3 linked regions of the Nothobranchius furzeri genome follow. The protein of the gene in region 1 interacts with the protein of each later gene in a pairwise test. Links are inferred from orthologs where the notes say so. Each region holds a gene or a part of one and is shown in the gene's direction. Other genes may lie near its edges.

What was found.
Region 2: the proteins of fip1l1b (region 1) and cpsf4 interact in binary tests that used the Homo sapiens proteins (3 or more experiments, as listed by UniProt). The two-hybrid records come from large-scale screens. The link is inferred for Nothobranchius furzeri from reciprocal best matches to the Homo sapiens genes FIP1L1 and CPSF4.
Region 3: the proteins of fip1l1b (region 1) and prmt2 interact in a two-hybrid assay, tested with the Homo sapiens proteins (2 studies listed by BioGRID and IntAct). The link is inferred for Nothobranchius furzeri from reciprocal best matches to the Homo sapiens genes FIP1L1 and PRMT2.

What each region holds. Positions count from the first base shown.
Region 1 is NC_091747.1:75,989,700-75,993,943, reverse strand, and holds the start of fip1l1b (pre-mRNA 3'-end-processing factor FIP1), read left to right. Parts: upstream 1-1,234; 5' UTR 1,235-1,389; coding exon 1,390-1,468; intron 1,469-1,794; coding exon 1,795-1,849; intron 1,850-3,805; coding exon 3,806-3,872; intron 3,873-3,974; coding exon 3,975-4,087; intron 4,088-4,244.
Region 2 is NC_091752.1:65,592,076-65,596,354, reverse strand, and holds the start of cpsf4 (cleavage and polyadenylation specificity factor subunit 4), read left to right. Parts: upstream 1-1,209; 5' UTR 1,210-1,511; coding exon 1,512-1,614; intron 1,615-1,736; coding exon 1,737-1,787; intron 1,788-2,328; coding exon 2,329-2,481; intron 2,482-2,610; coding exon 2,611-2,706; intron 2,707-2,784; coding exon 2,785-2,878; intron 2,879-3,022; coding exon 3,023-3,095; intron 3,096-4,279. UniProt on the Homo sapiens protein: Component of the cleavage and polyadenylation specificity factor (CPSF) complex that play a key role in pre-mRNA 3'-end formation, recognizing the AAUAAA signal sequence and interacting with poly(A) polymerase and other factors to bring about cleavage and poly(A) addition.
Region 3 is NC_091754.1:17,486,897-17,491,296, forward strand, and holds the start of prmt2 (protein arginine N-methyltransferase 2), read left to right. Parts: upstream 1-1,319; 5' UTR 1,320-1,369; coding exon 1,370-1,456; exon of another isoform or gene 1,457-1,489; intron 1,490-1,521; coding exon 1,522-1,713; intron 1,714-3,117; coding exon 3,118-3,279; intron 3,280-4,400. UniProt on the Homo sapiens protein: Arginine methyltransferase that methylates the guanidino nitrogens of arginyl residues in proteins such as STAT3, FBL, histone H4. Acts as a coactivator (with NCOA2) of the androgen receptor (AR)-mediated transactivation.

The sequences.
Region 1 (4,244 bases):
GAATAATGTCAGCCTCTTGTGGTGATGAAATGACATTACAAAAATGCATAAATATTTTTTCCAGTATTTGGGTTAAATGTACACTATTTTTACCACTCGTAATAGTTATTAACTTTGGCTCTAAATGAGTAATTTTTTGTTTTAAAAACATAATTCTGGCTTATAGTAAGTGTTATCTGATGGATGACGGCAATTAACTAAAAGAAATCTGTTCAGTCGATATTACAATCAACTTCTTGTCAAAAGTTCACCAAGATTTATTTCTAATTATGGGCATGAATTTTCACTGAGCAAGTTTTACGTATGGTTCTAAACAATTAACAATTTTTTAGTTTTTAGACACATTTGTGAGTGCCGTTTAATGAATGAACACAATTCTCAAAAGAATATTGACAAAAAGTGGTCTTACGCAACATTTAATCAAAATTTCATTAGGATTTTTTTCTCAATATTGAAGGAAAATTTTTCCCTTAAGAAGCTTTAACTTTTGTTCTAGATAGTTACAGTATCAAGTTTTATTTGTAAAACATATTTCATAAAAGAAATAAATAGGCACACTGCACATCATTCAAATGACAGCCAGCGCTCAACAGCTGGCACTGACAACTGAGAAGTAGAAAAAGGCGGCTGGAGCACTCAGATCAAATTAAGTATATTTAATGTGTGTAAGTAAAAAGAAAACTCTCGTCCTCCTGTAGTGGTAAAGTGGTGTGACACTGAACGTCACCATACTACGTTAAGAGAAAACATAAAATATCTGTTTTGTTATTAAATTAAATGTAAAATGTAGATACATGGAAATAAATTTTGTTCCAGTTTTATCAAGTTATTTTTTAATTTGTTGCTCATAATTAATTGGCGTGTTTTTACATAGTAAAAAGTGATTACATGACGCATTGTGCCTTTGAGAGTTTAAATCTGCCTTAATATCAATTTATTTATCTCTTATAGGCTATAAATTATTCTACACATCAAACCCTATTAGGGCCTCTGGCAATAAAACACTATTCTCATTTTGATTCTGATTCAGATGAACATTTGCACTTTTTAAGCTACGTAAATTTGCATTTAAATGTATTTAATTTAATTTTATACAGCATAATAATCGACCAACTTGTACCTGGGAGTACTGTAAACGGTGCCTCTTTTGTCCAACAGGGGGCGCGCTCGGTTCCACTCCATACTCCGACCTTAGCGGGATTCAAGAATCCTCAATCACTTCCGGGTTCATACACATTTGCAAAGGGGTTGAATATGATTCTATGAAGTAATAGATACATAATTTATCAAAGTTCTTCCCTGTAAGGGTTAGATTGTGCTTATATTATTGAAATTTTACACATTGTTGCTGCTGTTAGCTGTTGGAGCAGCGAGTGGTTTTGGCTGAAGATGTCTGCGGAGGAAGCGGACAAAACGACCACCACAGATGCCAGCGCAGGTGATGAAGAGGAAGAATGGCTCTATGGAGGTAAAATAACAATCCAACACCGCATCTCCACGCCGACACATACAGATATAAATATGTTTGATGCTCTGTCTATGACGATTTATCTACGAGTAATGAGGAGATGGGAGCATTAGCCGATAAGCTAACTAGCACCGCTCGTGTGTCGGCCTTCAGCAACAGCGGCATGCTTTTGAACAAAGTTAAAGACGCATAACACAGACAGTCATCTATTTAGTTCACTGTTTTCACTGTGATTAAATGAAGTAAAATCCCAATGACTCAACAGGTAAAACTTTACACGAAGTGCTTATTATTAAAGGGCTAAAAGTTTCATGTTTATGTTTTAGATGAATCAGAAAGTAAAGAAGAGGAGGAAGAAGCCAAACTGATCGCTGCTACCAGGTAACAACCACTCCCACCACCTTTAATCTAATGATCTGTAAAACATTAGACTTGCTTAAAACTCACACAATAGTTTTAAACGAGGATAAAACAAAAATCCGGGCATAAATACAAGCGGAGAGGTGCTGGTTGGTGGATTTGGGCTAAGCCAGGCAGCACTGAGTCGTCTACAGTTGGTTCAGAACTTTGTGGCCAAATTTCTGACAGGGACAAGGAGGTCGGCACACATCACTCCTGTGCTGGTCTTATTACATTGGCTCCCTGTAGGTTTTCGGGCTAAGTTTAAAGTTATGTGCTATGTCTTCAGTCTCTTTATGGTGGTGCTCCACCTTACTTGGCAGCATTAATAAAAAAAGACGTACCCCATCACAGCCTCTACGTTCGGCTGAGCTGGAGCTACTGACTGTCCCACAAACTAGGTACAGGTCTAGAGGTGATTGGTAGGGTTGGGCATCGTTTGATTTTGAACAATTCCAATTTCAATTCCTCGTTTTGATTCCGGTTCCTGTTGATTCCGATTCTTTCAAGACATGACATGTTTTACATGAGCCAGCTAACCACAGGTCCTACTTGATGAAATTATCTTAACCTCAACATGATTTTTAATTCTATGAACAACAACATCACCTTCATTTAGACAAAAACATGTTTTGGAGAACAAAAGAAAAAGACTTGCAGCACAACCAGTGTGTTTGTTTCTGACCACAACCAAAGTCTGGAAGAAGCCTCTAGGATGAGAGGCTAAATGTCTCCAACATATCCAGAAACGTCCAGCTGTCTTCAGCTGAAGCTCTCAGGATGATCATGTCCAGGATGACTGAGAACCACACCTCCATGCTGCAGCAGCATTCAGTCAGAACAGGAAGTGAAACTTAAACGTAGCTGCTGTCAGTAACAATCTAACAGATTTAAACATTAAAACTCAACAGAAATAGTTCAGAAAGGAAATTTCACAACTTTGTGTGTGATTTATTATTATTATTATTATTATAATTATTTATTGTGGCAGAAGCTGGTGTGGTCCACCACGGAGAAGCTGCTCTAGCATGATGACTTTAATTATTCTACAGGTTATTGTTCAGCCTTCTGATGCTCACGCTCACACACACACACACACACACACACACACACACACACACACACACACACACACACACACACACACACACACACAGAGTGTTGTTGAGCGGCTGACGCTCCGTGTGTGTTATTTCTGCAGAGTTTGTTCTTTAAAGCTTCTATTAAATCCACCGTGTTGACGTATTTAACAAGTTTCCTCTACGCTGCAGGAGTTAAAGTTACATTACGGAGTAAAAGTTCGGTGGACGTGTTTGTTTATATCCGGGGGGGGGGCTCGGTGCTGCACACAGACAGCTGCTGTGATCAGCTCTGAAAAGTGTTGATCACAATTTGCAGATCACGTTTATTTTTCACGGAGGTCGGTCGCGGATTCTTCTGGTTGGCATTCTAGGAATCGAAATAAAAACTTTGAACGATTCCGGGAAAAACTTAACAGTTGATCCCGGTTCCAATCGATGCTCGATGCCCAACCCTAGGATCGGACTTTCTCAGTCTTGGCTCCTTCTCTCTGGAATGAGCTTCCATTTGATATAAAACGATCACCTTTGCTGCAGGTTTTTAAGAGTCGTTTGATGACTCATTTTTATCATTTGGCTTTTATATGACCTGGTTGTATGCGATTATGTCTGTATGTTGTTTTTACCTCGTTTTTATTGCTATCTGTGTTTTTACTGTATTTAATGTCAGCAGCTTGGGCTCCTGCAAAGGCAGTGGAAGCTGCTATACAAATAAAGATTGATGGATTGATTTGCCACAACTAAAGATGTCTGACTCAATAGGTTGTTGTGTGTACTGAGCATCTATGACAGCACGACGAGGGCGGTTTCAGTATGAATTCTGATTGAACAACAAAGTGTTTGTACATTTAACCAACAGCTTACCCACTGACATAACAACAGAAGAGGCTGTTGCAGAGGCTACAGGAAACGGCGTGGCCTCTGAGGTAGGTAATCTTTGCATTTCTTATATTTTTGTCCTTTTTGTGTTTGTTTTCTGATCGATGATGATCTTTTATCTCATTTGCTTGTTTTGTCTGAACTCTCAGGCCACAGGGGAAGCTGCCGGTGAGGATGTGGACAGTGACAGCGACAGCGATGACGACGACGACGATGTCCGTGTGACCATCGGTGACATAAAAACTGGAGCACCACAATACCCGTAGGCTTTAATCGTGTTTTAAAAACGACTCCCATTTCAGCACTTTTGTCATTTTTTTCTGCCTCTTTATTTCGACATGAACAAAAAAAGCCAAATGTGAAGCAAGAAAGGGAAAGAAGATCTAATTTAAAACAAAAAACTTGATCAATCAGTTTTA
Region 2 (4,279 bases), on another chromosome or scaffold:
CTAAGTTCTTCCATCCGGATTCTCACCAGTTCCTGGAGCTGGTAGAGCTGAGTTTGTTTTGCACATTGAATGCTAATCATCTTCTGAAATTTCCTTTTGCATATCCTTTTCCCATTTGGTTTTTACATATTGTGAATTATTTCCATTACATTTTTTAATACAGCTGTATAATTTAGAAACTACCTTGGACGGCAATTGGTTTTTCGAGTTCAGTATAATTTTAACCAGCACATTACAGTTTCCCGCTAGTTGTGGTTTCACCTGAATGTCAGAGAAATGCCTCAGTTGTAAATATCAAAATAAATCTTTGTTGCCTATTTTAAACTCTTTTTTTAACATTTTCAAAAGATTAAAGGTGGACTCTATATTTTTACATTTTTTGTTTTTGTGAAGCGCCTCGTGATTTTTATCTTGAGAGGCACTATAGAAATGATATTTTCTTCTTCTTCTTTTATTACTTTTTATGTGCTCTTGCTTACTCTTCCATGTCAGTTTGTGGGCCCCCTAGTTCCAAAAAAATGTATGAGCCAATAAGTTGTTTTCTGATCCTGTTTGAAATGTGCCATTGTTTTGACATATGATGTCTGTGAATTTAAAAAATACAATTTTATGCCAATAAAGTGTTTATTTTTGACAGGTGACAAAAGTTACTTTAGGTTTTGTGTAAATGACGTAGAGGACGGTCTACAAATACTTGTCTCACCAAATTTATGTAATTGAACCAGACACAGAGAAGATGAGAAAAAGAATGGTGACAAGCTGCAAATCCTTCCAGGATGAAAGAAGATACATTAAATATGGAGAAAACCACCACAAATCTGGCCATGTGGTAAGTAGCAACTATGCTGGGGGAGAAGAGACTCAGCTGTGACGTCACAGACCCAGCGTCAGATCAGTAGTGATTTTAATTACGAAATTGTACAAACAAATAAATTTTAAACTATGTGACAGACAAACGAAAATTAAAAATGACTACATATTTTAAAACAGAAAAAAAAACTCACTATAAAATAGGAATCTAGTAAGGTTCATCCTGGAAATAATTTTACAATTCATAATATTCTTCTCAATAAGTACTCTTCTCATTTTTCATGAAACAAAAAATTAAAGCAAAAATAAAAAAATAAAAAATAAAAAATAAAGAGGCAAGCATTTTCCAAGTGAAACGTGAAAGGCCTCGTTTATCGATTAGTTCAGTCTAGATCCGTCAGCTCGGTGATCGTTGTGCGCGCGCCAACACCGTCACGCTGAGCAACGAGTAGAACGATAACTAAAACGGAACTGACAGACCTGAACCACGGTCAGAAGTTTTTTTTTACGCAGTAAAACTACAAACTTAGTTTATTTACATGTTTTCTAATTATATTTTGTTAATCTGTTTGACCGTCAAGTTTCGTTAGCCTACGCTTTCGTTAGTGTGCGGATGAGGTAGCTAAGCTAACAGGTTCGATTTCAAGCTAGCACAGGCGAAAACAACTTATTTGGCTTGAGGGCAGAAAACCAAAGCAAACATGCAGGACTTGTTGGCCACCGTGGATCACATCAAGTTCGATCTGGAACTAGCTATGGAGCAGCAGCTGGGAGCGCAGCCTCTGCCTTTCCCCGGCATGGACAGTAAGTGTAGGGATGCTACCTGCTATTAGCCGCTTTATCTGAATGAACCCTAATGAGAGAGCTAACGGCAGGTACACACATGCTTGTGTTAATCAGTTCTGTGCTAATGTGTCCCCCTGTAGAGTCAGGGTCAGCTGTGTGTGAGTACTTCACCAGAGGAACCTGCATGAAAGGTAAAAAAATATAATTTCAGTAGTTTTTACTTCGTTTTGTTGTTGGTCACGGGTCCATGTGTGTTTCCATTAGACACACAAATGCTGCTTATTTTATTTTAATCTGAAACGTTCATCAAAGCTTTACAATTCTAAATAAAATGTATTGGTAACCCTCCACTCACTGGTTGTCTCCGCATCATGGTTCTGAATTCCTAATAAAATTCTTTCTAGTGTGCAATAGAGACTATAGCTAAACCGGTGCAATCTTTTCATAAACAGACCTTTTCTATTTATAAAGTGTTTATTGTTACTCTTTGTCACATTTTTATGTTACTTATGATTCTCACTTCTATTTTTATGCCAAACACAGAGTCAACCACCGCTTCTGATCTCGCTCTTCCTTGTAGTGACATTAACATAAAAGATTTGATTTGTATGACAAAAGAGGAGAAAGTATTTTGACTTGATTTCTTCTGACTCTTGTTTTTGTAGCTCTGCAACAACCCGACTTTGCAGTTGTTCAAATGAGATGAATGTTGTAACTGTGAATGTGATTCAGGTGGGATGTGTCCGTTCCGTCACATCAGCGGAGAGAAGACGGTGGTGTGTAAACACTGGCTCAGAGGACTGTGTAAGAAAGGAGACCAGTGCGAGTTTCTCCATGAGTATGACATGACAAAGATGCCTGAATGCTACTTCTACTCAAAGTTTGGTTAGTTGACTTTCTCTTTATCTTTAACACATTAAATGAATTCTAAGTGTGGCTCTTGTGCCTCTTAACCACTCAACACTTGTCTTCAAGGCTCTGAATATTTTATTTCTTATATGTGTTGACCCCCAGGTGAGTGTAGCAATAAGGAATGTCCCTTCCTGCACATTGATCCAGAGTCTAAGATCAAAGACTGTCCATGGTACGACCGAGGCTTCTGTAAACACGGTAAGATCCGGCATGTGGGTGAGAAAAACTCTTTTTCTGCTCTTTCTTCAAACGGCTTCTGGATGTTTGTGTGTTCAGGGCCTGACTGCAGACACAGACACACAAGAAGGGTGATCTGTGTGAACTACCTGGTGGGTTTCTGTCCAGAAGGAAAGTCCTGTAAATTTATGCAGTAAGTCATTTGTTTTATTTGATTTTTTACATAAATTACCTGTTTAAGATCCAGTTTTTATTTAGTAAAAGTGGATTTTTGGGTTAGGAGATTCTGAAATAACACAATCAAAGATGTAAAATTTACTGAGATGTTTTCCTGCAGCCCCCGGTTTGAGCTGCCTATGGGAACTTCTGAACAGCCTCCTCTTCAACAGCAACTTCAGAACCAGACAAAGGTACGACCACTCACTCACAAATTTATTAAACAACTCTTAGTTCAGCCAACTTTAAAAAAATTATTTTTTCTGCCTTTTTGAAGCAGGTGAAATACATAAATATTTACTATTTTTTCTAAAGAGCTTCTAGAAAAGCCTCTGTTGGGAGAAATAAAGTTTAAGTCTGACTGGACTGATGAGCTAATGGCTAGTCTTGGAGCTACTGAAGTGTGTTGTTATCTGCAAACAGCACCAATCTTTAGAATTAACTCTTTGGGCCCTGGCGCCTCCCAATTGGAGGCCTTTGGAGTTTCATGTCCCAAATGTCAGTGATTGTTTGCATTCCCCGAGTACAGCTACAATCAAAACAGTTTCGATTTTAAACAAAGCAATTTTTGGATTTTGATAAATTAAGATAAAATAATACTTGAACTTAATTTTAGAAGAGGAGGGCTGTGTGACAGGGTGGAGGTTGTGAGTTCAAATTCGATTTCAGAAATTTAGTCTTATTTTATTTATTCCAGGGGTCCTCAACTAAGTTTGTTCAATCGTTTTTTGCAGCAGACACCAGTGAAGGCCAGACGCTTTTCTAAAAGTTCAAATATCATTGTATCTTAATTTATTACAATTTAAAATGGCCTTGTTTCCCATCTGGGCTGTTTGATTGTGGTTTTAGTTGTTTGGAGAATGTGGACAGTTGTAGATGTTTGGGACATGAAACTGTAGAGGTCCCCAATAGGGGGCGTTAAAACAAGAGTTTGAGTAGGGCTGTGCAATAAACCGAAAATGTATCGTTATCGAGGAGAAATCCTCAATATATCGTGATATTGATTTTAGGCCAAATCGCCCAGCCCTACTTTTGAGACACATTCACTGCCATCCGTATCACATGACATGGAATTATCTGGTTATTTTCCAGCAGCAAGTCAGGGGTTAAGTCCTCCTGGAATTACTTAATGTTTCTCCTCTTTCCTATTCATTTTCTCTCCCTTTCCTCGCAGTTTTTAAATTTATTGTAATTTAAAAAAAATTTTGTAATTGTTTTTTAAAAATATTTTATGTATGTAAAATTGTTAGTTTTTGTGAAGCACCTCATGATTTTTATCTTGAGAGGCGCTAAATGAAAGATAATTTTCTTTCTTTCTCGAAAGAACCATAGAAGAAACAATTCTGTTTAAAGCAGTGGTCTTCAATAGGCGGCCCGC
Region 3 (4,400 bases), on another chromosome or scaffold:
TTTGACTTCAGGTGTTATTCGTCTGAAATGAGCTGTTTCAAAAATTCCTTGTGCTTTTCTGTGTTTCTCTTCTATTTCCATGGGTTTTCTGTTCTTATTTTGTAAAGCGAAGCAAAATGTTTTTTCTTCTTTATCTTTTTTTTTTTTTTTTTTTTTTTTGCTGACAGGGCATCACAGTCGCCATCATCAGAGCTTCTGCGGTGTCGTCACTTCTGCTGTTAATCCCGGGCGGTGTGGAACGATGTCGCCCTCTACAGCCCGCACCTTCCCTGCCGATCACCACGTCCCATGAATGATCCAGCGTGTAAACTCCATCACTTTTCATGGCCCAGAGTCCACGTTTACCAATCTCAATCGCTTCGTTTAGGCATCTTCAGTGGATAAACAGCGGAAGTGACGCCGCCAGAATGGCGAATCTCTGCAACGCCGAAACTTTCAGCAGGTAACGTAAAAAAACAAAACTTTGCTACTCTGTGTGCAAGATAAGAACAGAAAAAACTATTTTTCAAAAAATTCTATATTGTGACATCACAAATAAAATTATCATAGAATCCCTTCAACTTCAGATGCTGGATGACCTCCTCCAACGGCAACCAATCAGGGACCAGAAACTGTTTTGCTTAAAGTGAAAGAACGGCTCATTCTAGAAAGTACTTAAAAAGCTGCTCACTTTATGCGAGACTAGTTTTGAGCAAGGAGCTTAATTATATAGTTTTGTATTTACTCTAGAGTAGGCGTGTCCAGTGTGGCTCGGGGGGCATTTACGGCCCTCCAAGCGATTTTGTAAGGCCTCCATTTGAATTTTTAGAATGATGAATTTTGTCTTTCCATGTGGAATGTAACCCACTTTCTAACATGTTTGTGTTGAGATTTTTACTTATTAGCCTATTTTGGGTTCATTTTGAAGAGCACAAATAAGAAAAATTGCCACAAAATAATGCTTGCAATTTTTTATGAAGAAACCTACATTCTTGTGGCCCCCAGTGACTTTAAACAGCCATTTTAGCCCTCGCCTTGAAAAGTTTGGACATCCCTGGTCTAGAGAGTAAAATAAAAACTCGCAGTTCCCCTTTAAATGATCTGCTATCGTTGGTGTGTTCTTGCTGTGTTTAGTTTCAAATTCTATCTTTCAGTTCTTTTTAAAGCACGATATGCTATGTGCGTGTAAACAGTGGTCACGCACGAATTCAGCTATTTCCGACAGACTTGAAGGCAGCACCAAAGCAGGAAGTGCGTGACGCGTTTTACCGCTTGTTTCGCTGTGGTAACAAAGCACGTTTTGGTTATTTTTAAACCCAGATTTGTCAGGTTCAAAATTTGAGACAATTTATAAAACAAAACCACTTCACTCGCCTGAACCCTCTGGAACATGGAGGCGGAGAAAGAGGACGAAGAAGACGCGTCTCCTGAAGAGTTTGTGGCTTTGTCTGATTTCTCAGGAAGTGGCTCCGAGCAGGTTAGAGGCAAACAAACAGCGGTTCAGCCACAGAACACACTCACTTCATCACTTGTGTCCCGCAGCTTAGTTTCAGCTCAGGGGACAAGCTGCTTGTTCACGCCAAACCTTCTGCAGCCTGGTGGTGGGCGGAGGTCCGTGGGGTCATAGGGTATGTCCCTGCCAGCTACCTGCGCCAGGACACAGCTGAGGAGGAAGACACCTCTATAGAAGACCCCTGGCAGGATGAAGAGTACTTTGGGAGCTATGGAACACTGGTCAGAAACATCAAACATTTATCCTATGAAACTTTAGGTCGGTTTGCATGATTAAAGCAACACTTGTGCATTTAGAATGTGTAGAAGCTGCAATATCTTCATAAGTTTAGCCTGAATTTGAGCTCTACACTATATCATGTCAGGTTTTGACTGTAAAGCACACAAAAACTTAAAAAGTACAATACTTGAGAAATAATAGTGAAATGGCACACCCACAGAGAAAATATCCCATCTGTTGTTCCTTAGATGATTATGTCATTCTTAAATTTTATTTATTTAATTTTTTTGCAGAATCTGCTTAGTTTGGGGTTTATTTTTACATCCAGGAATGCTGCTGAAGTTAAAAAAATAAATAAAGTGTTAGTCTCCTGAGGCAGCAGTGTGTGTGGCCTGTTCTCCACCTAAATCCTAATCTCTAACCTCCGTAGAGACTTTACTGATGTTGTCTCAGTAGCATTGAAGCATATGAGTTTGCGGCGGATTCAAAAATACTTTAATGCCATTAAAATAAAAGAAACATTAATACGTGTTTTTGAGTTTTTGACAAAATTCAAGCTTTGTTAATAACAACACCGGAAATCGATAATGAGATTCTGCCACTGTTCTGTTCATTAGAGGAGATTTCTTGTCCTCGTCATTCATGCATGTTATGTGTTCATTTTGTGGGGGCTAGGAATAGATATTTACCTCAACAAATCTTTAATAATTAAGAGGTTATTTGCAGGTTTATTATGGATTTGTTGTGCAGAGATTTCTGCACATAGTCAGAAAGAGTGCAGCACCATTAAAAAGTCACATTAGCCTCCTCTGTTCTTTACGACTGCAGGGACTAGAGGACTGGTCCTGCAGATCTTTTGTATTTCTGAAAATCGTATCGTGACTGTGATTTTCCTCTGCAGAGAAAACAGACCATTAAATGGAATATATTTGCTGGAGTGTTGTGTGCACAGCGTTATGGATTCAAGTCAAAAACTGAAAAAGCGTTTGGAATAGAACAAAGGGGCTTATTACAAATCTTGTTTCCTGCCTCAGAACCATGAACGGCATCAGGAACTGAACAGTTTACAGCACGGTGAGGCTGCTGATGTTTCAGACTTAGTCAAAGTTGTGGATTCTAATTTGCACCTCGGTCAGGTAAAGGATCAATGAGCCAAAGCGACCACGTCAGCATATTCAATAAAGCAACCTAGCTGCCCTTGTGCTCACGTCCACTTATTAATCACCTTCTGCTACATAATTAAAACCTGTTGGGTTTGCTTTCACACCATCAACCACACATGTGTTTTATGTTGCTACTTTTCATCTGTTAGCGGGAGTGATTGGGAGCACGGTTTCTGATGGTTCTGATATATTTTCACCCCTCCATGTCATCATGTTAAATTCAGTTTATCTCTTACGATGCAGAAGCTTCACCTAGAGATGTTGTCGGACAGGAGCCGCACCGAGACGTACCGGCAGGTTGTTCTCCGCAACAGTGCCTCCCTGAAGAACAAGGCGGTGATGGACCTCGGCTGTGGAACCGGCATCATCAGCTTGTTCTGCGCTCAGTTGGCGCAACCGTCAGTGGTAATTGTGACACTGAAATTCAACCATGTCGGCTTAAATGAATGTTCAGTTAGCATTAAAGTATGCAAGTGTCTCCTGAATGATTATTATTCTATGATTCCATATATTCAGAGTAAAGATCTCTTTATATATCATACAAAGTAAAATTTTAACTTGATGCCTTTAAGGTTTTAATTAAAAAAAAGACAAATTGGAAAGAAACAGTCACTAAGTGGTTCAGGTCAACTTTATGTTGAACAGTTTGGTTAGAGCGCCATCTGGTGGACAAACACTATTTCTACAGGACTGAACCCTTTGGTTTGAACAGCTTCGTGTTTCTAAGGTAGCCTGGCCTGCCAGACTCACCCTCTGTCTATTCTACAACATGCCAATGCTTCCCATAAGGAAGGCTGGCCAGGCTATTTAAAGGTGCAGTGGATGTTGTAGGAAACGGACGTTCAAATGAGCTACATTAAAAAAAAACAGGTTCAACCCCTTTTTCTGCAGACCCCCCTGGAGTCATAGAAAATGTTCTAACACCAGACCATACGAATGCCGTCCAACAACGATAAAAGTCTTTTCAACTTGTTGTTGGCACCTTTTCTGCCATTTTTTTAAATAGTGTAACGCATCGTAACCATGTAACATGTGGGAGGTGGAAGAAGTGGTCAGTTACTGATTTGAGGTCGCTGGTTCAAACCCTGCTCCCACCAACCTGTCGTCGTGTCCGTGGGCAAGACACGTCACACTTGTTGCGTACTTGTGTTGATCAGAGAACCCGGTGGCCTAGCTTCTGTCGGGTTGCCCCAGGGCAGCTGTGGCTACAGTGTAGCTCATCACCACCAGTGTTTGAATGTGAGCATAAAGCGCCCTGGAGTCAGTAGATGATTCAAAGCGCTGTACAAAATCAGACCATTTACCATTATTAGAACAATTTAATAAGCTAGCTAACATAATTTTTTTATGGTGTAAAACCAGGCAGTTTGTTTCTTGGTTTATTAATAATATAATATAATTTTTTATATAATATTAATATTATATATTCACAGCAGCTCAGTGCCACTAATTTTATATTTATTTTTTTATTGTGCGTATTTCTTATTTCATTTTTATTTTTTGCACCAAGTACCGCAGCAATTTCC